Alligator mississippiensis: one gene and its partners. The protein of the gene in region 1 binds, or shares a complex with, the protein of each later gene. Links are inferred from orthologs where the notes say so. Each region holds a gene or a part of one and is shown on either strand. Other genes may lie near its edges.

Region 1 (7,238 bases):
GAATGTGTTTTGAATAGTGGGATCACCTTTATACGCTCTGGGGTTTTTAAATAAAGAACTTTTGTAAATTTTGCCCTACCTGCTTTTAGCTGTAACATTTTTCTAGTGTCCATGCTGGTTTTTCTTTATATTCCCTTAAATCGATATAATATATATTTTAAAGGAAATCCTTTGAATACAAAGATGGAGAGGGGAAAAGCTAATATAAAGCATATACATTGTCTGTCACTGTTACATTAGCAAGGAAGAGCGGGAGAGAGATGTGTGGTTGAGCAGGAACACTTGCGTCCCTTGCTAATCAAAAGAATGTGTTGTTGCTGTAGTACTGTCTCTTCATGGAAACTGAACTACCAGGGTGATGAGATGAGATCTGTCTTGACAAATGGCATTCCTGTGACTTCACGTCTTGCAGCGCCATATCCTCTGTGTGTGTGTGTGTGTGTGTGTGTGTGTGTGTGTGTGTGTGTACACTTGGAAAAAGGGGTGTTTGTACCTCATTACCCTAGCCCAGACCAGCACCGGGCACACTTCTCATAAGGCTGGGTAGGACCTCTCACTCTTGCCCTTTGGCAACCCCCAAAATTGCCAGGTTCTGGTGTCTGTATCCTGTGAGCACTGTATTGCCTGTTGGTTCTTTTGTCATGTGTTTGCCTTCTGGGTACTATGGTCACCAAAGACATCAGCTTTGTCATGTCGGAACCTACCTGGACACATGTGAAAATGCAGCAAAGCGGAGAGGGGGAGACCAATATGTGGCTTCTGCCCTAGTGTGGTGGCTACACCCAGCGAACCGCACATCCCATGTCTGATTTCTGGTTGTGCTGCTTGATGTGTTCTGGAATGTAGGCATGCCCACCGAGGACGGTCGAAATGGCTGACCCATGGCACCGTGAAAAATGAGCCGTTTCCTCTAAACCTTTTCCTCCAGCAGGTATCATCAGCATATTTAAATTGATCTTAAATTTTTAAAGATTGGCTGAAGATTTCTGTCTCATTAGGAAAAAACCAGAACGCGTAAAACTTAATGTAGCTCAGCACTGCTGTCTTGTTAATGAACGTAACCTGTTTGAATACATTACTCATTCCCAAAAGTGGCACAGAGCTTACAGATTCATGGCTGTGTTATAAAGGGGAAGGAGACTGCTGTCTAATCCAAAAAGGACTTTTCATACTTCTTTTGACTTTGTTTCCTTTTTTGTTGTACACGTCCTAAATAAGTTGCTCAACTGTGACCCTGTATTGACTGGCTTCATGCTGAATCAGTGTCCAGTCCTGGGGCTGGAAACAATGTAAGTGTACAGTACTAGATTTAGGAATTTCACTAGACGATGTACCATGTTATTTTGTGAACAATCCTTTTCTGACTTGACGACCACTGTGTACAATAGCACAAAACTACCATTCTGGTATTGCTGTCCTGCACTGGGATATTTAAGACTAGATCGAAGTGGCTGGTTCTGGTGGAGTTCAGGGCCTGCAGTACACCAATGTTGAGAGTGGTGATAAAAACCAAAGCCCTATTTTTAGCTGTAATGCAACGTCCCAAATAGAATCAAGTGCTTTTCTTGCCTTATTTTTCAGTATAAAATCTCACGGGCTCCCGATGTTGGGTCCCGAACACGTAAGCTGTCATTCTACGTATACTTGAGCACATACCTACAGTCCTCACTTTGCATAGTGTTATGCAGCTGGTGTGCTTAGGTGTTTGCAAGACTGGGCCTTCGCATTGTCCTGCTGCGGTAATTCTTTCCATCTCCCTGCTCTTGTTTTTGTATGAGCTAGACTTGTCCCTGTCAGGGCACGTGCCAACTCGGTAACTGCCAATACAGTCTGATGCTCCATTTCAAGCATTTGCCATTGGCGATTTAAAGCATTGCTTCAAACATCACCTCTTTGTTTTATGTCAAATGGACTAACAACGCGTACTTTTTAAAATGATCTCTAAGGTAGTTCTGTTTGGTTGCCAACTCTAACCCTAAGCAGCACAAGCATGTATATTTTGTAATGTTTTTTCCATTTGAAATCAAATTTTGCCTACAGAAAAGCTTTTGTTTTGCTACAGTATGCGGAAATGCGCGCCAGTTGTATCCTCCTTGAATGGTTGTGTGTACATCTTGCTATGAATGGCACATTATCTGGCATACAGTATGCTCCCAATGTATGTTGTTTGTATCAAGTGACATGTATAGAACTAATTTTAAATTAAAATTCTATAATTTAGTTTTAAATGGTTATGATTGAATGGTATCAACAACAAGGCAAATACAAGGGTGTTATTATTCACGCTGCAGAGACCCTAGTCTGGATTAGGGCTCTACTGTGCTAGGTACTGAACAAACAAGCTCACACCTATTCATAGATTCATAGATGTTAGGGTTGGAAGGGACCTCAATAGATCATTGAGTCCGACCCCCTGCATAAGCAGGAAAGAGTGCTGGGTCTGGATGACCCCAGCTAGATACTCGTCTAACCTGTCTCTTTGTACCTTGGCGGAGATGAGGAGCACCACTGAACATATGTTTTAATAGGTGAAATCTTTCCACGCCCTTCCACCTGGGGCGGTGGATGGTGTCCGAGTGAGTTGAGAGAGGTGGGAGTTGAGGTGGCCCCTGGGCTTCAGAGAACAGCTGGGAAGAGCAAGGCAGGAGCAGGCTAGAGAGCAGACAGATGGGAAACCTGCAGGTGAGGTAACGGGACCAGCTGGCGCGGTGATGCTCAGTGAGTGTGAAGTACCTTGAGATCCGTCCAGGGGGGCCACGCAACCCAGAGAGCTCAAGCAAAGCCACAGCTGTGCTTTCTGACATCTTTGCACCAGAAAAAAAACAGCTCTCTTATTTTTCTGCAGGCCAAAAAGAGTGAAAAGGAAGAGCTGGCATCTTCCCAGGGTGCCTCAAGTCCAAAAAGTTGAGAGCGAGTGAGTGCAGGAAACCATCTCTGCTGCGGGATGCGGACTTCAGTACTGCTGCTCCATGGTCAGCAACCAGGGGCCTTTAACAAGCCCGAGTCCAAGACCTGGCCCGTGCTTCATAGATTCATAGATGTTAGGGTCGGAAGGGACCTCAATAGATCATCGAGTCCGACCCCCTGCATAGGCAGGAAAGAGTGCTGGGTCTAAATGACCCCAGCTAGATGCTCATCTAACCTCCTCTTGAAGACCCCCAGGGTAGGGGAGAGCACCACCTCCCTTGGGAGCCCGTTCCACACCTTGGCCACTCGAACTGTGAAGAAGTTCTTCCTAATGTCCAGTCTAAATCTGCTCTCTGCTAGCTTGTGGCCATTGTTTCTTGTAACCCCCGGGGGCGCCTTGGTGAATAAAACCTCACCAATTCCCTTCTGTGCCCCCGTGATGAACTTACAGGCAGCCACAAGGTCGCCTCTCATCCTTCTCCTGCGGAGCAGGGGTGATTTTGCTGCAGGGGATGCAGTCCCATCGCCCCCGCCCCCGCCCCCAGGTGTTCTTGCTTGGGACCAGCGCCGCGCACTTAGCTCTGTCCACACTGGTAATCGCACCGCAACTGCTGCGTGTTCGGATTAAAACCGGATAGAAACCATCCCTGCAGCTGCTGCACGTTTCCTCGCGCCGCCTTCAGAGCGGGTTGGCTCTTCCTACAGCTGCACGGCCCCTTCTAGCCCGAGCGCGAAGCCGGGAGCCGCGGGGCTGCCAGGGAGCTCCAGAGGTCGCGTCCGGCCCGAGGCAGCACCAGCCGCGTCGCAGCCGCCCTGTACACACCCAGCCTCTGGACCGCAGGTCAGAGACGGCGCGGCCACGGCGCTGGACCACCGCTGTGGGCGACCCACCGGCCGGCTGCCCTCGCCGCCCCAGGCAGCGGCCGTGCGTCCTGCGAGGGCTGACCCGGGCACCCCCAGGGACGCTGCTGCGCCCTTCTCCCCCCCGACCACACCAGAAACACGACTTGTACCCAAACCCGTGGGCCTGGCCCCGCGCACACGCGTGTGCTTACAGACGCGGCGTCAGGGCGCTAGCGACAGCTGGCAAACCCTAGCGCCCACGAGGATGTGTGCGTGTGGTTTGGGGCTTTTGGTTTGCTTGGGGTTTTTTTAGTTAAAGGTAGCGTTTGTAGACGTGAGCCTAGTGCGGCACACTAGGGGGGAGAGAGTGTGAGTGTGTGTGTGAGTGTGTCCAGCTCAGCGGTGCGCGCGCACACGCAGGCGTGGTGCGCGCGCAGGCGGCTGCCGCCGGGGCGCTGCGGGATAAATAGGGCGGGCGAGGGGGCGTGTCCGGGCGGAGGGGGCGGCGCGGCGCGGCGGATCCATGATGGCGGCGCTGCAGCCGAAGGCGGGCGGCCCCCCGCAGATCCCGGACACGCGGCGCGAGCTGGCCGAGCTCGTCAAGCGCAAGCAGGAGCTGGCGGTGCGCGCCCGGCCCGGCCCGGCCCGGCCCGGCCTGGCCCGACGCGGGGGCGTGGGCGTGGGGGTGGGGGATGGGGGCGTGGGGCGGGGCCAGGAGGAGGCTCAGCGCGGGGTGGGTGGGCCCATGCCCCGGCCCCGGCCCCGGCTGCCCGCGGGGGCTCGGGACCGCCGGGGTGGCCGCTCCCCCGGCCCCGCGTGCAGGCGCCGGCGGCTGTAGCGCCCGCTCTGGTTGTGCCCTTTCCCGCGCAGGAGACGCTGGCCAACCTGGAGCGGCAGATCTACGCCTTCGAGGGCAGCTACTTGGAGGACACCCAGATGTACGGGAACATCATCCGCGGCTGGGACCGCTACCTCACCAACCAGAAGTGAGTGCGCGGTCGGGGCCGGTCGGGCCGGCTGCTGGGACGGCCCAGCGCCGAGCGCCGCGCTCCCTCCGGACCCGGCAGCGCTAGGAAGGTGCGAAAGGCACTCCTGGCGCCGGGGTCTCGGCGTGCTCTTCCTTGCGCGCAGCAAGCGCAGCCCTTAGGATGGCGAGCGGGCGCGGTGCCGGGGACGCCCCTCGAGGCGGGGCGAGGCGGGGCGGGGTGGGGGGCGGCGCAGTGAGCGCGCGCGCTGTCTTTCAGGAACTCCAACAGCAAGAACGACCGACGCAACCGGAAGTTCAAGGAAGCCGAGCGACTCTTCAGCAAGTCTTCGGTCACCTCGGCAGCCGTGAGTACCGCGTGCACACAGCGTGACGGGGCGGTGCGCCGCGCCGCGCCACGCCAGCCTCAGCCCCGAGCTTGCCCCCCGAACGCCGCGCGGCAGCTGCAGCCGGGCTGCGCACGGTCCCCTCTGTCACGTCTCGCTCTTCTCCTTGCTTCCAGGTGGCTCTGAACTGCTCTTCTCAGTTTCCCCGGTTGTTCCCTTAGCCGCCTGCTTGCTCGGCTTTCCCCGGGACTGACCGAGGGCAGACCTGGGGTGACCGTTCCTCCCCCTGCCCTTACGGCACTTCTAGCTCGATAGCTGGCAAGTCCTGCCGCAGTCCGTGCCGTGCCCTCCTGCTGTGTGCGGCGAGGGCAGCACAGCGGTGTCCATCCCTGTCCCCCTCTCACAAGCGTCTCCGAGTTTCCTTTCATGCAGTCTCCCTCGCACGCTCACACCTGCCACGGCGCCCAGGAGAAGTGAAGGGGGAGGGAGCAGGACAAGCAGGAAACGTTCGTGCCTTGCACGCCTGTCCTTCCCGCTCTCCTCCTGTGCGAGTCCCTCTCTGGCCCTGCTGTATTGCCGTTCAGCTGGCAGTTCCTGGAGGCAGAGATCATCTCTCTCTCTCTCCATCTGGAAAGTGCCTTGCGCGTGTTTCAGTAAAACGTGATCAATGGGAATCCGTCTCCATAAGTGTCCCCTCTGGTTTTGTAGGCCGTCAGCGCGTTGGCCGGAGTTCAAGACCAGCTCATTGAGAAGCGTAAGTAGCTGCCTGTTACCCGTCTCTGCGTGACTGAGGTGGAAAGAAGGAAACCGTTTGCTTTGGAAAGAGGGCTCCTCCCTGCGGTGCTTGCTGCTTCCGACGCTTGCGGTCGCTTCCCTGCCTCTAGCCCTGTTGCACGTGTGTGTGCGCGTCGGGGGGGTCTCCGTACCCCAGTAGTTCCACTGCTCCCAATTCTGTCGCCATAAGTAATGCTTGCAGTGAAATTACAGCGCGATTCCCTTCCAAAAAAAGGGAGGTTAGTTTTGTGTCCATCTTAAAGCTTTCTGTGCACGAGACGTGCGTGGCTTTGGTGATGGGGGGAGGTAAGAGTCCAGGGTCAGGCTTTGCGTAGTTGCCACTGGAGCCGTGTGCTTGGAGCCGGTGTGAGGTTCGTGGGACTTCACACCTTCCCTCCTGTGTTTGCCTGGTCTGCCCCCGCCTGTGTGACCTAAAGGTTGAGTTATTTTTATTCTTTTTTCGCATTCATTCGCTTCAGGTGCGTTCCTGGCTGATCAGAGGGGCTGGGGGAGGGCAGCGTTCCAGCCGTAGCGCTGACTTCCTGCCTGGTCTAATTCTAATAGTTTTCTTTCTCCAGTGCTTAGGGCATTTTGCTGCCCCTGCTATAGGATGCGGCATGCAGTAAATGCATTCTGGGGTTGTTCCTGCTTCCGGAGTTTGCCCGGGGTTGCCTGCAGCATGCCTCTTGCAGGGGGTAACTTGTCCTGCTCCAGCAGTGTGCTGCGCACTAGAGAACGTCCACGGCCCCCTGAGGCTGCCCTGTGCCCTGTGCTGATGGGGTTTGCTCCTGTTCCTTGGGACCTGGCTTGGGCACTCGAGGTCTGTCTTGGAGCTGAACAGCTGGGAATTAACAGCTGTGCTCTCCTGGGTTTGTTGCGTTTTAGGGGAGCCGGGCAGTGGGACAGAGAGCGACACTTCTCCAGACTTCCACAATCAGGAGAACGAGCCCAGCCAGGAGGATGCCGACGATCTGGATGGGTCTGTGCAGGGCGTGAAGCCCCAGAAAGCTGCTTCCTCCACTTCCTCGGGGAGTCACCACAGCAGCCACAAAAAACGGAAGAACAAAAACCGACACAGGTTAGTGGTGCCAGCAGCCCATGGCAGGCCCTCCGAGCCGCGGGGGTTGGTTGTCAAACAGGCTTTGTCCCGTGGAATAGCCACGTGTGTTAGAGCAGCGGGAGGGACGGGCTGCTGGTTGGCCGGGGTGACAGGCTGACATCACTTTCCTGCCAGTCTCCAAGGCAGTGGGAAGAAGCTGTTAGGTGCCTTCAGTGGGCCTGAGGAGGCCTGTTGGGGTTCCTCAGGGCTGGGGCCAAGAGGGAGAGGCCCTTGGAAGCAGGTAAACTAGTGGCCTGAGCCAGGGAGTGGCAGGAAGGAGTCCCTGATTTCAGCCCCAGCTCTG
Region 2 (6,961 bases), on another chromosome or scaffold:
CCTGCCTCTTCCAGGCCAGCTACCTCCATGACACCACAGCACAGCGCAGAGCAGAGGCGTAGGCCCGAGCTCTTACCCAAGAACAAAGCCAGCAGGGGCTTGCTAAGGTAGGTGTGGGGGAGGAGGGGAGAGGCAGTGCTGGGGACAGTGAGGCCGCCTGTAAGCGAGGGCCACACCTGAGCTGCAAGCAGCAAGGCAGAGGGTGGAGAGGGAGGTACCTGGCCGTACCTGTGCGGGGGGATGCAGGGCACGGAAACCACCGGTGCTGCTGCTCGCTTCTCGGCCAGGATCTTCCTTGCCTTCTTCATTTTGATCCTGGACTTGGCCTTTGCCTTCTTCACCTTCTCCGAACTCCAGCCTTTGCCCTCTTCTTCCTCTTCCTCGTCTTCCTCCTCCCCTTCACTGTGAGAGAGGGCAGGGAGCCGGCGCATGGAGCCCGGGGGCGTATGAATGTCGCAGTAGGCTGTCTTGCGCACACTGAAGGAGGTGCCATTTGCTCCCGTCTCGCGGACAGGCTCCATCTTCATGTAGAGTCCAGCCTGCTGGGCACAGGTCACGTGGAAGGCAGTGTAGCAGTTGGCCTTGTGACACTGGATGCAGGCCCCAGAGCCACGCTGCTTACAGATGTAGCAGGTCAGCTTCCAGCGGGCTGGGGGGATGTGCTCGATGCTGTCGATGGGCTCTAGAAACACCGTGTTGGCAAAGCACACCTCTGGGATCCAGAGGGCACAGACCACGTGTGCCCAGCGCCCATCGTCCGTCTGTTTGAAAGCTCCACCCTTGTTGGGGCAGAGGGCACAGTCCACAGCCCGGGAGGGTGACTGCAGGCACCTCCTGCACAGCCACTGGCCCTCGGGGATGTAGGGCACGCCATAGCACTCCTGGTGAACGGCCAGGTTGCACATGTCGCAGAAGAGGATGACGTTGCTGTTCTGACACTCCCCGTCGTTGCAGATACAGCAGACCGCGTCCTCGTCAACCAGCGCGTTGGGGTCCCCCTTGTTGTGGCTCTCAAAGTAGGACTCTTTCTCCAGCCGGTCCATCAGGTACTCAAAGATCTCCTGGGGGATGGGGCTCACACCCTCCGTCTTCCGCCGCTCATTCATGATGTCCAGCCAGATGTAATCCTCCTCATCCATGTCGTACTCCACCTCCTCATCCAGCTCCTCAGCTGACTTCTCAATGTACCTCAAAGAGAAGGGGAGAGGGAATGAGCACCCAGCATGGGTGCAGGCCCACGCAGCCAACCTCAGGGAGGGAGGGGAGAGGTTAGACCAGGCGAGTTTTATCGTGGCAGCCACAAAGCAGCTGTGACCCAGGAAGAGCAGGGATGGAGAAGGGACCCGGGAAGCAGGGTGCGCTGCAGCTCGCACCCATTCTCCAGCACCCACCAGAGTGGCGACACAATTCAGCACCGCCGCCTGAGCTGGACTACCCAGCGCTCCCCGAGCTGCGAGGGAGGGAGCACGGGGCACTCGCTGATGCAAGACAACCGTGGGGAACCTGCGCGAGCCCCGAGGTTGCTGCTCTGGGGCCACCGCTCAGTTTCACGGCACGGCAGTGCCAGGTTCTCGTGTCCCGGTGCTTGTGCAGCAGGTGTCCCTGGCACTCGGGAGGACAAAGGAGGTGCTCCCACGTACGGCCAGGCAGAGGCAGCTGCCTCTGCTCCTCCCCTGCCAGTTGTGGGTGGAGAGCATTACTTGTGTTTTTATTTTATTTATTTATTTACTTATTCACAAAGTCTGAGGTCGTGGTGCCTTGCCCAGCGGCAGCAGCCGCAGCAGCAGCCGCCTGCCACCGCAGCAACTGCCAGCACGCGCAGACACGTGGCTGGGGAGGCGTCTGCTACAGCCAGCAGCGCCGGAGCAGCGCCCACATCGTGCTCTGCAGCGGAGACGGCAGGGCCCAGGGAGCTGTGCAAGCGCTCCCGCCAGCTCGCAGCGCTGACCTCCACGCGGTGCCGAGACAGCTCACCCGCTCGGCCACGGCCAGTCATCTCTGCACTGCCCCGTCATAGCCGGAGAAGAAGAGCTTGCACGGAGCAGAGACCTGCAGCGCGCGGGGCGGGGCGGGGCGGGGCGGGGGGGAACGCAGCCACCAGGCTGCAGGGCAGGGCAGGGCAGGGCGTGAGCGCGGCGGGGGTGCACAGGCCCCGCGCGGAGCGTACCTGTAGTAGGAGGTGGGGCGCGGCGGGGCGTCGGGGGTGTCCTGCTCCAGCTCCCGGTACACGGCCTCGGGCAGCTTGGGCGTGGCGCCGGCCGCGGCGCTGTGGTGGTGGTGGTTGGAGTCCTTGCGCTTCTCCTTGTTCTTGTGCTTGGCGGCCTTGGGCGCGGCGGCCGGCGCCTCCGCGTTCTCCTTGTTGCTGCCGCTCTCGGGCGCCTCCTCGGGCGCCTCCTCGTCCTCCGACACCACGTCCAGGTTGTCGAAGATGCTGATGCGGTGCACGCGGCCGTGCAGGTCCACCTCCACCATGCGCTGCGCCTGCGCGTAGGTCATCACCTCGCGGCCCGGCGACTGCGAGGTCTCGGAGGGGCTGGGCGACTGCTTGTTGGCGGCGCGCGCCTGGCGCCCCTTCTTCTTGTGCTTGCGCAGCGGGGCGTGCTGGGGCGGCGGCGGGTTGTCGTGGTCGTAGTGGTACAGGTGGTACTCGATCCCGCTGTAGCTCTTGTAGATCTTGCGGCAGGTGCCCACCGGGCACTCGTAGGGCGGCTTGGTGGCGCGCAGGTTGTGGCAGAAGGTCTTCACGTCGAAGTCCACGCCCATGGCGGCGGCTCCGCGGGCCCCCGGCCCGGCGCCCGGCCCCGGCCCCGCGGCCCTGCCCGGCCAAGGCCCCCGGCCGCGCGCTGGGCAGGCGGGCGGCCCCCACTGCGGGCGGGGCGGGGCGCGGCGCGGCGCGGCGCGCACTCACGGGCTGGCGGCGCTGCGCGGCGGGCCCGGGGCGCCCATGGGCGGCGGGGCCGGGCCGGGCCGGAACAATGGAGGCGGCGGCGGCGGCGCCTGGCGCGGGGCGGCCGCTGGGTAAAGCGCCGCGCGGCCCCTAGCAACCGCACTTTCGCCGCGGGCGGCGGGCGGCGGGCGGGCGGCGGCGAGGGCGGCGGCGGCGCGGGGGGCCGCGCCCCGGAGGCCGCGGGGGGGCCGGCGCGGGGGGGCCGGGCCGGGCCGGGCCGGGCCGCGCCGCGCGAGGCGAATCTGCGGTGGCGAATCGCAAGCGCCTCCTGCGCGGCCCAGGAGCGCGAGAGGGCGCCCCCGCCCGGGGCCGCCGCGGCTCCGCCAATCAGCGGCCGGGGACCGGGATAGCACGCTGCTCCGCTGCTGCGTGGCCAATCAGCGCCAGGGGGCGGGGCTGGCACGCCGCTCCGCTGCGGCGCGGCCAATCAGCGCCCGGGGGCGTGGTCGAAGCTGCGGGCGCAGCCAATGCGCGCGGGCCCATGTGTGTGGGGGGGGGTGTCCCGCGGCGCGGTGCCCCGCCCCCCAAGCAGGCGGCGGTGGCGGCGGCGGCAGTGGAGCGGTTTATTGCGCGGTACAGCGGTGCATCGGGGGCGGTACAGCGGGGGCGGGGCTAGCGCGCGGCGGGGCCCGCGGGCCGCGGCTCCAGGTCGTGCGCACGCATGTAGCTGAGCAGCTGCTCGGGCACCTCGGCCAGCACGTCCCGGGCCAGGCGCGCCATGCTCAGCACCTGGCTCCCGGCGCGGTCCACGTAGTCCCGGAACGGCACGAACTGCAAGAGAGGCGGTCAGCGCGCCCCCGCCCGCCCGCCCGGCCCGCCCGCCCGCCCGCCCGGTACCTGCACGATGTCCCGCTCCGCCGAGCGGCCCCGCGACGACACGCGCACGTCGTCCCCGTCCAGCTCCTCCATGGCTGCGGGGACAGCGGGTCAGCGCGCCCGGGCGCCCCCGGCCCGCCCGCCCGCCCGGCCCCGGCCCCGGCCCCGGCCCGACTCACCCTCGAACTCGGCCGGGCCCACTCCCACGATGATGATGGACATGGGCAGGGCGGACGCCTGCGGGCAGAGGCGGCGTCACGGGGCGCCCAGAGAGGCGCCCCCGGCCGGGCAGCGTGCCCCAGCCCCGGCCCCCGCCCCGGCCCGGCCCCGGGCAGACTCACGCTGACGATGGCCTCCTTGGTCTGCAGCATGTCGGAGATGACGCCGTCCGTGATGATGAGCAGCACGTGGTACTGCGACCCGTCCGTCACCTGCGCCGCCGACCTGCGCGGGCAGAGAGAGCGCAGTGCCGGGCAGCCCTGCCCCGCGCCCCGTGCCCCCGCCCCACAACCCCCGCCGCGCTCACCGTGCCACCTGGTTGATGACGGGGGCGAAGTTGGTGGGCCCGTAGAGCTGCACGGTGCGCAGGCTCTGGAAGTACGCCTCCAGCACGCCCTCGATGCCTGTGCAGTTCGGGTCCTCGAGGTTGTTGTTCTGCCAGGGCAGAGGGCAGGGAGCTGCGTGTGCGTGTGCACGTGCACACCTCGCAGGTGCGTGCAGGGGGCTCCGTGCACGTGGGCGCACGGGTGCAGTGGCAGCCCCCAGGGACGGGCCGCAGGTGGGCGTCTGGACCGGCGCCAGGCGCAGGCTGTCCCCAGTGCCCGTGTCCAGAAGCGCCTCCTCCCCCTGGGATTCGCCGCGGAGCCGGAGGCAGGACGCAGGTGACGGGCCCGGCCCCTCCCTGCCCAGCAGGGCCCCCGGCTCCCGCCGCAAGCCCCCCACCATCACACCTCCTACCAGGGGGAACTGGTGGGAGATCCTGCCATCCGGAGGGACCTTGGCACCAAAGCCGTAAGCAGGGAAGAGCTTGTCGCTGTCGTAGTCCTGGATGATCTCCCCGACGGCCTTCAGCGCCATGGCGTAGGCGCTCAGCTGGTACGGGCTCATGTAGTGCAGGGACGTGGGTTGCGACGGGATCCCTGCCAGCACCGCGTGGCCCCTCAGCCCGGGCAGTCTGCCCCCACCCCACCCCACCCACGGCCCCCAAGCCCGGGCTCCCCACCCCGGTTAGGGGCAGCCCCAGGGCCCGTGTCGGGGCTGCGCCCTGCCCTGCACCAGGGCATCCCCGGCCAGGTGTGCGGGGGCCACGTCCCGGCTGCCTGGGAACCCACGGACGGACGAGGACAGACGTGGAGAGCCCGTCCCCACAGCAGCCAGGCTGCCACGCCGCACTGCACTCACCGTTGGAGGCCGTGAAATCGATGGCAACTGTGAAATTCAGCTGTGTCCTGTGGGGGGGGAGAGTCTAGCCCCGGCCCCCCACAGGCATCTGGACCACCAGCCCCCTCCTTCCCCTACATCTCCTGCCGCTCTCGGCCGGGCCCCATCCAGCCCTGCGGCCCCTGGCTGTGGGGAGTCGTGCTCGGCCCCCGGGCCTGCGGGCGCTCGACCAAGAGCTCGCTCGGAGCACGGGGGCAGCAGGAAGCCGGGCTGCCTCGGAGCCACAGCCACTCACCCGCCACGGATGTAATCCACAAAGGTGAACTCGGACTCCACGGAGAAGGAGAGCAGGGTCACCTGCGGGGGAAGGGGTCAGGACTGCAAACACCCGGCGGCCCCCGCCCAGGTGACCTACAGGCTCCCCAGAGAGCCCTGTCCTCCCTGGAGCACCAGGCACGCGGGCAGGCCCCGGACCCGAGGCGGGGAGCTGGATTTGGGGGGGGCACAGCCTGGCTAAGCAGAGCGGGGGGCACTCACAGTTCCCGAGTTGACGTATTTCTTCTTCTTGCATTTCTTCCTGGGGTTCAGCACCTGGTTTAGAGGGGTGGTCAGGCACCAGCCCCCCCAGCTCCATGCACCCCCAGGCCTGCCCCAAAGCCACCCCCAGCCCTTCCTGCCTCCCTGCCCCATGCCCACGGCCTCACCTCATAGACCGTGAACTGGCTCTGGGCGCGGGAGAGCTCCCGGTAGCTGGTGGCAAACTCCCCAATGAAGTCGTGGCTGGGGGCAAAGCGGTTGTGCAAGGGGAGTGACCCACAGCCCCTGGGCCAGGCCAGACCCAGCCCTGCACGCAGCTCCTCTCCACCCCCACGTGAGATGAGCCCGGGTGTCTCGGCTCGACGCCCAGCCCCATGCTCCCCGGGAGATGGAAGCGGAGGCTGCCCTGCCCAGGCTCAGCGGGCAGGGCTGTGGTGCTGGAGCCGGGACATGCTGCCAAGGGCAGCTCCCAACAGGAGGCCCAAGGGCCACGGGTGGGCAAGAGCAGGCCTGTGGGCACAGCAGGGCTCGTGCAGCTGCTTGCAGCCTGCCAGACAGCAGGGCCCTGGGGACGCCTCACCTGCCATCTCGGTCCCAGTCGTACACGTCGATCTTCACTGTCCTGGAACAGAGGAGCCAGCCACGGTGAGCGGGCATCGGCCCCCAGCACAATGCTGTCCATCCTCTCAGCCCCGGGCACCACGCACCCATCCCGCCTGGGCAGGGCTGCGTCTGCACAACTGCGGGTGCTCGCTGGGCCTGGCGCGAGCCGCAGGGAGCACGTGCTGCTGGGGCGCGGGGGTGGGAGGTGCAGGCCCTGACCAACCTGTCGTAGTCCCCGTTGCACAGGGCTCGCACAGGGATGGTGAACGGCTGCCACACAGGATTGAGCGTGTTCTTCACCACCTCCGTCTTGTGGCAGATGGTGAACCTGTAGGAGCAGCAGAGGGGTGGGCTGAGAGCGGCTGCGCGGGGAGCCCCCTGGTCCAGCCCGGCTTGGTCCCCACGTACGTGCCATCCTCGTTGCTGCGGTAGAAGACAAGGAAGGGGTCCGACTTCCCGAAGAAATCCTTCTTGTCCAGCTTGTTGGCGCACAGCTGCATGGTGACCACGTCCTGTGGGCAGAGGCCAGTCAGTGCCAGGGCAGTCCGTGCTCACGCCCCCCCCGCCCACCTTGGCCCTGTCACACCTGGGCTTCCCCAGGCCCTGCCCTCTAGGCCTGGCCCCTCCAGCTGGGCCAAGGTGGGGGCTGTGCAGGGCAGCATGGGGCTGGGGGCATTC
Region 3 (7,559 bases), on another chromosome or scaffold:
CAGTAAACAGCTATATGACCTTACATTTTATGAACAGGGCGAGAGTCACAGAAGAAACGACTCAACACAGCACACTGTTTCTAATACTCTTTATATGTTTTGAATATTCGTGGAGTTCCTTCCAAATCTGAGTAGCTACCAGGAAATGCAACAATATCTGATGTTTGAGGTGAATGGGGATGTGTGCGCACAAACATGCACACACACACATACACGCACTTTAAAATCTTGACCAAAATTTTAAAATTGCTGTTTTGCACGGAAGCATACTTGAGGAGTACAGAAAGGGACAGGATTTTTGGTATCCCACCTCATCGTAAGGACACCCCCTTGTAATGATCAGACTAAATGAATGGGTGCATACAGTAGAATGAGTGTAAAGCTATTTCTAATGACTAGTCTTGCTCTCAGGTTGTGTTGACATCAAGATTTTATTTAATAGTATTTTCCTACTGCTACCACCACCGGTTCCATTTCTATCAGCATTAGGTCTTGTCACAAAAAAGTTTGATTACACTGGTCTGGTAACAAAAGCTACAGGCTCTAGTAATGCTCGATGCGATAACCAAGCAACTGTATGAAGAAGCTGCTGGCTTTTTACCTGTAGTGTCACTGAAAGGTGCTCAGCACAGGCCTATATTCTTTTGTCCTGCAAAGGGCAATGCTGTGGTCTACACCATCTTACCGTCATAACCCTCCATGGATCTTCAGTAATGGCAAAAAGTGATAGAAAATGAGTATTAGAACACATATCTATATACCCTGCAGTCTTCCAAGCCTCAGATCTGGCTAGGCCACAGCCAAGTGCTCTGCCTGAAGTGTCAAAGTAATCCGAGAGGCACTAAGGACTCGTATGTATAAAATTAAAAAAAAGGAAATGGAAATGCTTTTTGAAAGTGGCTACGAACTCCCCTGCACTGAGTCTGAAAGTGAATGGGACAAGATCATTTTCAAGCACTTTCAGAAGCATGCGAAAGAAAAAGAAACCTCCATCCACTTAAAGATTCACCACAGGCCCCAGACCATTTCCAACTTATCTGATGCATAATGAAATACTGACCTCAAAATTGGAGCCTTTACACCCTATTTCGTCAGCTCCGAGGCTCTTACCTTATCCTTCTCATGGGGAAGAAGCGACACAGGTGGCAGGCAGGAAAGAGACTCGCAGCTTTCCTTCCCGTCAGCATTAGCAACTGCTTTAGTGTTGAGCTGGTAGAGAGGTCCATCTTTAAGGAGTCTGCCATGGCCAACAGCACGCTTGACAGCTAGTCGCAATTGCTGGTGAAAAGCGGAAGCAGCGCTACCTCCAAACAACACAGACACGTCCTTCTGACCTTTCAAAAAGCGCTCTATGTTTTTCAAGGATGAGCCACTGGACTCCGCCAAGCCCTCGATTGCCCGTTTGATCAGTTTATTCCAGTCCACGTTTGGTTTACCATCCAACTTGCCATGGTTTCGAGGCTTCGGAAGTGCTATTCTCCCCGGATTATCGGGATCCTTGTAGGAATTGAGACCCTTGTTGGAGACTTTTAAAATAGTCCCATCTTTAACGCTTAATTCTAGTTGTTCCAAAACAGTTTTACGGTCCAAACCATGGGATGAAGACACCGCATTGCATATCCTCTCCTCTGAAGGGCGTTGTTTTTGCTTCTTGACCTTTTTAATCGCCTCCAAAATCCACTCAGTATACAGCGGGTTGGCGAGTTTTACCATGGTGAAGACTTCTGTATATCCATAGAGTCGTTATCCCTTATCCCGATGCTGCACAATTTTCACACCGTGGGAAAACAGATTCTCGGAGGAGAGTAACCAGCTAACCATAGCATACACGTTTCTGATATGAACTGCTTCTCTTTGATCCAATATTAAATTTTCTTAAAACTGAAAGAAACACAACACATCCCATTAGGAGCTGATCCACGCTTCCCAACAGATCCCACCACCGCTCCCGCGGCAAGCCTGGCAAAGCTGGAAAGCTGTCAAAGCACATCTTACCTCGCTTCGGGACTCCCGCACCGCGATCGGAAAGAGAACTGGAATGTTACGCCTGCAAGAAAACGGGACGGAGTAATTTCTGAGCAAAAAAAGTCACAAGCCTAAATCTGACTTCCGCCATCCTACGGACGGACGGACGCCTCACAAAGTTTCCCCGAGACCACCCTCGCCGCCCCGGGAGACCGCCAAGTCGCGAAAACAGAAAAACACCGCGTTTGCGTGCAGGGACACAACCGAGTGCCGAAGGTGACAAGGCCGTGCTGTTCCCGCCCAGCCAAGGCGAGTCCCAAGCAGAGAGAGTCGGGACGGACGACGCACTGAGGAAAGACTACCTGGCGCCTTTTGTCTGCGGCCGGGGTTTTACGGCGGACCCCAAAGCGCCCCCATTGTGCCTGGTGTAGGCACGAAAGGGCGCGCGGCGAAAGGGGGGTGCGCGCCGCGGCCACCCCTCCTCGTGTCCCGAAAGCAGCCGCGACACCTGCCCGCCAAGGCGGCGCGGAGAAAGTTGTGCGGAAACCTGCGGGCGTCCCCTCGCCGGGGCTGGGGCCGGGAGGCGGAGGGTGACAGGACGCCGGCCGCACGGGCGGGAAGCCCCCCGAGTGCCCGGCCTCGCCGCCCGCGGCAGACAAAGCGCGGCCGCCCCTCGCCGCGGGCTCGGCACCAGGCGGCGGGCGGCGCCCCCCGGCCCTGCACCTGCCGCGGCCCCGCGGCGCGGCGCGGCCGGGCCTGGGCGGGAGGCGGGCGCGGGAGGCGGGGGCCGCGGGCCGGGCCTGGCGCAGAGCGGCGGCGGCGGCGGCGGGCGGCGGGGCCGGAGCAGGCCGCGAGCCCGCGGCGCCGGGCCGGCCTCCCCCGCGGCGCCCGCCGCCCCGCCGCCTGCCCGCCGCCCGGCCCGCGGCCCCCCCCGCCGCCACTCACCGGGGCCTGCGCGCGGCGGGCGGCGGGCGGCGGCGGCCGGACGGCGGCGAAGCCCGAAACTGACACGGCGGCCATCTTGGGTCCGGAGCGCGGCGGCGGGGGGGGGGCGGCGGCGGGCGGGAACAGCGCACGGCGGGCGGGGCCGCGCCGCCTAGAACAGCCGGGCCGGGGACAGGGACAGGGACAGGGCCGGGGACACGGCGGGCTCCGTCCCAGCGCCCGCGGCCAGGGGTAGGGGGCAGGTCTGCCCCAGCGCCCGGACGGTGTCACCGCTGCATCGCCTTTACCCCCAGGCTGCCTCTCTTTGTGCCCGGACACATCCTTGCATCGGGAGCAGGTGGCAGCCGCGGGAGGACACGGCCGGGCCGGCTGCCTGGTGTTGCACCGACCGGCCCCAAAAGAGCCATGCGGATGCTTCTTGGCGAGTGACACCCTTCGCCGGTCCCGCATTGGGGACCGCGCCAGTTTGGGACCCTGGACTCGGGGAGTTCCCGCGTCGACCTCGGCTTGCGGCGTGGTTTCTCGCGCTTCGGATGGGCAAGTTCGTGCGCGGCGTTTTTAAGCGGTCACCCAGCGTAGAGATGAGAGCTTTTACGAGACCGCCGAGATTTTCGCCAAAAAAAACCCCCACCCCAAAAAATGGTTTGATTGCAAGCTGTCGGGCTTGGGGCTGAAACTTTGTTGGTACCGAGAAATCCTTGTTTCACCAGATTCGAACCATTCGCCCTAGATAACGTTTGACCCTTCGCGAGGCGTCGGAGAAAAGGTTGTCCAAGTTCTCCAGGATCCTCGAGATTGGCAGTCGCGCTCTTCTGTCGACTGCGGGTCCTCTTCTGTCTTCAGAGGATCTTCTCTGAGTAGGTGTACGGTTTGTGTCCGATCCCTAATTGTACCTTGCGTCCAGTTCTGAACTCGTGAAATAGCGTACCACGTTCTGGGCGAGACATTTCTTAGTGTGCAACTCCCCAGAGAGCAAGGGGAGCAATACTGACAGCTCTTAGTTTCGTGCAGGGTGGAGAATATCTAGCTCTCGGAGACCATAAGGACCCCCCCCCCAAACAGGGTTTTGGTGGAGGTGGCGTAGAATAGCGGTCACAACGACGCATGTTTTGGAGATGCTTTCTAACTCAAACCTCTTTGCTGAGTGTACACATTTAAAACTGTTTTATTGCTAATCCACTACGAACTGAGATCTTGCCAAATTGCAAATCCCTTTCCACTGGAAAGACTCCAGACCTACATACAAACTGGGGACAATGCTTCAGTAAGATCCTCGTGGGTGACTGTGTCCATACAGAGCCTCGTTGAAGACCCCCGGCTTCTGTGCAAGCAAAGAGAGCTCCTTCGTGGGAGTACCTGGAGTGACCTGAGCTTGGGGCTGAAACTTTGTTGGTACCAAGAAATTCTTGTTTCACTGGATTCGCACCGTTTGCTCTAGATAACGTTTGATCTGCTTGTTCAGTGTTGCTTGGGCTGCAAGTGACAGCTCTGAAAGCTTTTCTTATTTCAGATCTAGCTGTTGGTTTTGATTACATGTGCAAGGTACAGTCCTGTGCAAACAGGCTATGGCCAGTAGCCACACAATTTCACCAGGAACTTCCCGGATGAATGTTGTGTCTAGTTTTGGATTGGATCATCTTTGCACAAACTTTCTAATCTCTTTGGAGACGGGGAATTGGTAAAGTACTCTTGTAGACTTACTTTTTTTATGCTCCCCATCCCACCCCTGTGGTTTCTTGCCTTAGACTGAGGTGAGGAAGCGGAATGAACAGGAAGGAGGGTGCTGGAGTAAACTGTTAATTGGGACAGAGGAGAATCCTGGTTGCTCAGTCTCTGCCTAGAGAAAAATGCAGATGGCAGCTTGACATCAGCATGTAAAGATCCCTGTAGCAATTGTTTCTGTCTCTGTTCCTAAAGGTTTCAGAGTCCCTATTACGTTCATCATTTCCCCCCTTCCTGTTTGGGTCCCCATGTCCCTGAATTATAGCTGTGGTGCTGAGTGCATGGGAGGTAATGAAGAGCTGAAGTTCATTTCCAGGAGCTAATGAGGGTAAAATAAAGTAAAACTGAGAATTGCTTATGCAAGTATGATACTAAGTTAAAACTTCCTCCTCAGCTGCTGGACTTTTTTGTCTGTTTTAAAAGTCATATTAGGATTATTTAACCAGCAGCAAATTATGATGCAAAGAAGAACGCATTGCATTTGAAAGCTTAGTTAAGTCTATTCTGCCTGTGCAACTAGGTCAGTCAAAGGTGTCACCAGCAAAAATCCTTCCCTCTTCCCTATTTCCTGGACCATCATGCTATGTCACTCAGTGCTAGCAAATTGTAAACTGTTCAAGGTTATATCGTTTAGAAATTAGGATTTTTTTCAGAAATCCAATACTGTCTGTTTGCCTTTCTTTCTGTTCCATTTTCAAAGCACAATCTGACAGTTACACCAGCAGGATCATTGCATATGGTATGCTGCAGATGGCAAAAAGTTGTTTTATCCATCAAGATAATGCACAGTTTGGCAACACCGTTTTGTGAAATGACTAACTCCTTGGCTGTGGTTGTATCCAACTTTCACTGGAGACCCATGTACCTTCTAACTGAGCGCTGGCTCCTCACTGACCTCCAGTTCCCTTGGGTCTTGCTATATTTACCAGCAAGATTGATTTTTGCTTTAGAAACATCTTTCGCTGGATTCTTCTCCTTTTAGTTTCCAATTCGGGTTTATATAAACTCCAGCAATCCTGGGCAGAGCTTTTTATTTACTTTCAAAATGAAATATGATCCCCATGCTGACAGCCCAGAAGCAGCCAGATAGCATTTCTGCAGCAGTAAATAGGGTAATTCTGCACATTGCTTTCTGCAGGTACTAGCAGGAGATTGGGACATTCTTGAAAGGTTTATAGTTCAAAGTAGATCCCAACAGATTCACGTCTGTCAAGGGCCAGAACTGCTCAAAGGATTTTAAGGTATCTTGCATTGTATCGCTACGACTTCTTTCCTCCATAATTCCCTGCAAGCTTGAAATGTGAAACCTGTTCCCTTGCCCAAAAAATGGTTTTTCATACATGTTAACTTGAAATTGTAGTCAGAAGCTTATATTAATATTTTTTGCAGGCGAAAGAAAACCCTTTTGAGGTATTTGGGTTTTTTTTTTTTTCTTTTTTTCTTGTTTTGAAGAAGATACACGAACAACATGAACGGGGCAAAGTAGTCATGATTTTGCTGAGTATGAGCAAAAGAAGGAAATGGCACTCTTTAAAAACAGTTTATGATTCAGCTGAACCTGGATGCTGTTTAGAGGTACAAAGAAAACAGGTCTACACCCAAAGGGATTCCCTTTCTTGAATTTCAGAGGCTCAATGTGAAAAATGGAGAGGCTAGAACTTCTCAAAGAAAGATGCAAGAAATGCAGGGGTTATGTTAGGCCACTTAAACATAGATGGTACTCCCTCTGGTTCCCATTATTGTAGGATGCAACTGCCTCCTTATCTCTGAGGTGACAAATAGAGTATTACTGGCAGTGCTTCTTGGATCAGTTGTACTTGAAGTAATGCATCTACACTCCAGAAGAGACTGTGAGTTTGAAGACAAAATTAAGAAGCCAGCCAGTACCACAGGACCAGGCATTAGATGGAAAGGCACCTGAGTTTCAAAGACCTAGCATAACAAAAATATTCTGGATTGGGTCCGCAAAAGGCCAGTATATAGCTAGGATTCAATGACAGGTGGATTCAGCCCTAAGTTACCTCTGCTGGCAGGACACTGACTAAAAAAAGGATCTGGAGAGCAATTAATACTGAGCCAAGAATGCTATCAGGCCTCACAGTTTAGAGCCAAGATGTTGGCGACCTTTATACAGCTTTTGTGTAATTGGGTAGATTTCTAGCTTTGCCAATTTAACAAAGTCCAATTTTCTCACATAGAGCAGAAATAAATATAAATTATCTCTTCAGCTTGGCTTCCTCACACTTTTTCACACTTAAAGCATACGTACAGTCCTAAAAACAGATTACAAACTAATCGAGCTATTTCTCCAACTAGCTGAGAAGGGACAAATAGCAGCAATAATCTCTTTTACCTTTAGGGGCAAATATTGAGAAGGAAGCTATAAGGGAATTTGCAACACACCTTTTGTAGACCATCCCATGAGCTTCCCTTCATAAATCCACTGGATACAAAAAATCATGGACTAAATATAGACATTGGATTAACAACCTGCCTGACATCTGACACCCCAGATAACCTACCTCCAGCTGACCACTTGCATTCCTCCACACATTTCCCTCCCTTCCTCCCCACCATCTCTACCCATTGTCTTCCTAATTTCCACTCATTTGCATTTTCACAGACCTGCTTGTTGTAAATTTGCTTCTTTTCTACACACAACACCAGCAGAGTCTCCCTAGGCCTGACATAGGGTGTTTGTGCCCAAAAGCTTGCAAAGAACTTTTCCCCCCCAACTTTTGAGTTGGTCTAATAAAAGATATCGCATCTACCCAAAGAACCAAGATAGCCATAAGGCACTTGGATGAAAAGGCATTTTTTCTGATCTAAGGAGGAACGTGAATTGCGTGGGTTGGGTTAGCTGGTTGGTCTGTTTCTTTGTTGCTGTTTGTGTTTTGCACCCTGTGTTAACTAACAATTGGTAACAT

What was found. The genes of interacting proteins can lie anywhere in the genome.
Region 2: MEAF6 (region 1) and BRPF1 share a complex: the UniProt entries of both Homo sapiens proteins name them as parts of the MOZ/MORF complex. The link is inferred for Alligator mississippiensis from reciprocal best matches to the Homo sapiens genes MEAF6 and BRPF1.
Region 3: MEAF6 (region 1) and KAT6A share a complex: the UniProt entries of both Homo sapiens proteins name them as parts of the MOZ/MORF complex. The link is inferred for Alligator mississippiensis from reciprocal best matches to the Homo sapiens genes MEAF6 and KAT6A.

What each region holds. Positions count from the first base shown.
Region 1 is NC_081829.1:903,558-910,795, reverse strand, and holds the start of MEAF6 (chromatin modification-related protein MEAF6), read left to right. Parts: upstream 1-4,234; 5' UTR 4,235-4,273; coding exon 4,274-4,372; intron 4,373-4,620; coding exon 4,621-4,736; intron 4,737-4,994; coding exon 4,995-5,082; intron 5,083-5,769; coding exon 5,770-5,815; intron 5,816-6,720; coding exon 6,721-6,913; intron 6,914-7,238.
Region 2 is NC_081835.1:444,838-451,798, reverse strand, and holds the start of BRPF1 (peregrin), read right to left. Parts: upstream 3,008-6,961; 5' UTR 2,764-3,007; coding exon 2,168-2,763; intron 1,189-2,167; coding exon 229-1,188; intron 1-228. Other genes in the region: CPNE9 (copine-9), read right to left, coding at 3,560-3,718, 3,785-3,858, 3,943-4,000, 4,105-4,207, 4,290-4,417, 4,721-4,902, 5,165-5,211, 5,439-5,500 and 5 more. UniProt on the Homo sapiens protein: Scaffold subunit of various histone acetyltransferase (HAT) complexes, such as the MOZ/MORF and HBO1 complexes, which have a histone H3 acetyltransferase activity.
Region 3 is NC_081830.1:17,273,571-17,281,129, reverse strand, and holds the start of KAT6A (histone acetyltransferase KAT6A), read right to left. Parts: upstream 3,008-7,559; 5' UTR 2,911-3,007; intron 2,348-2,910; exon of another isoform or gene 2,328-2,347; intron 2,048-2,327; 5' UTR 1,996-2,047; intron 1,882-1,995; 5' UTR 1,714-1,881; coding exon 1,111-1,713; intron 1-1,110. UniProt on the Homo sapiens protein: Histone acetyltransferase that acetylates lysine residues in histone H3 and histone H4 (in vitro). Component of the MOZ/MORF complex which has a histone H3 acetyltransferase activity. May act as a transcriptional coactivator for RUNX1 and RUNX2.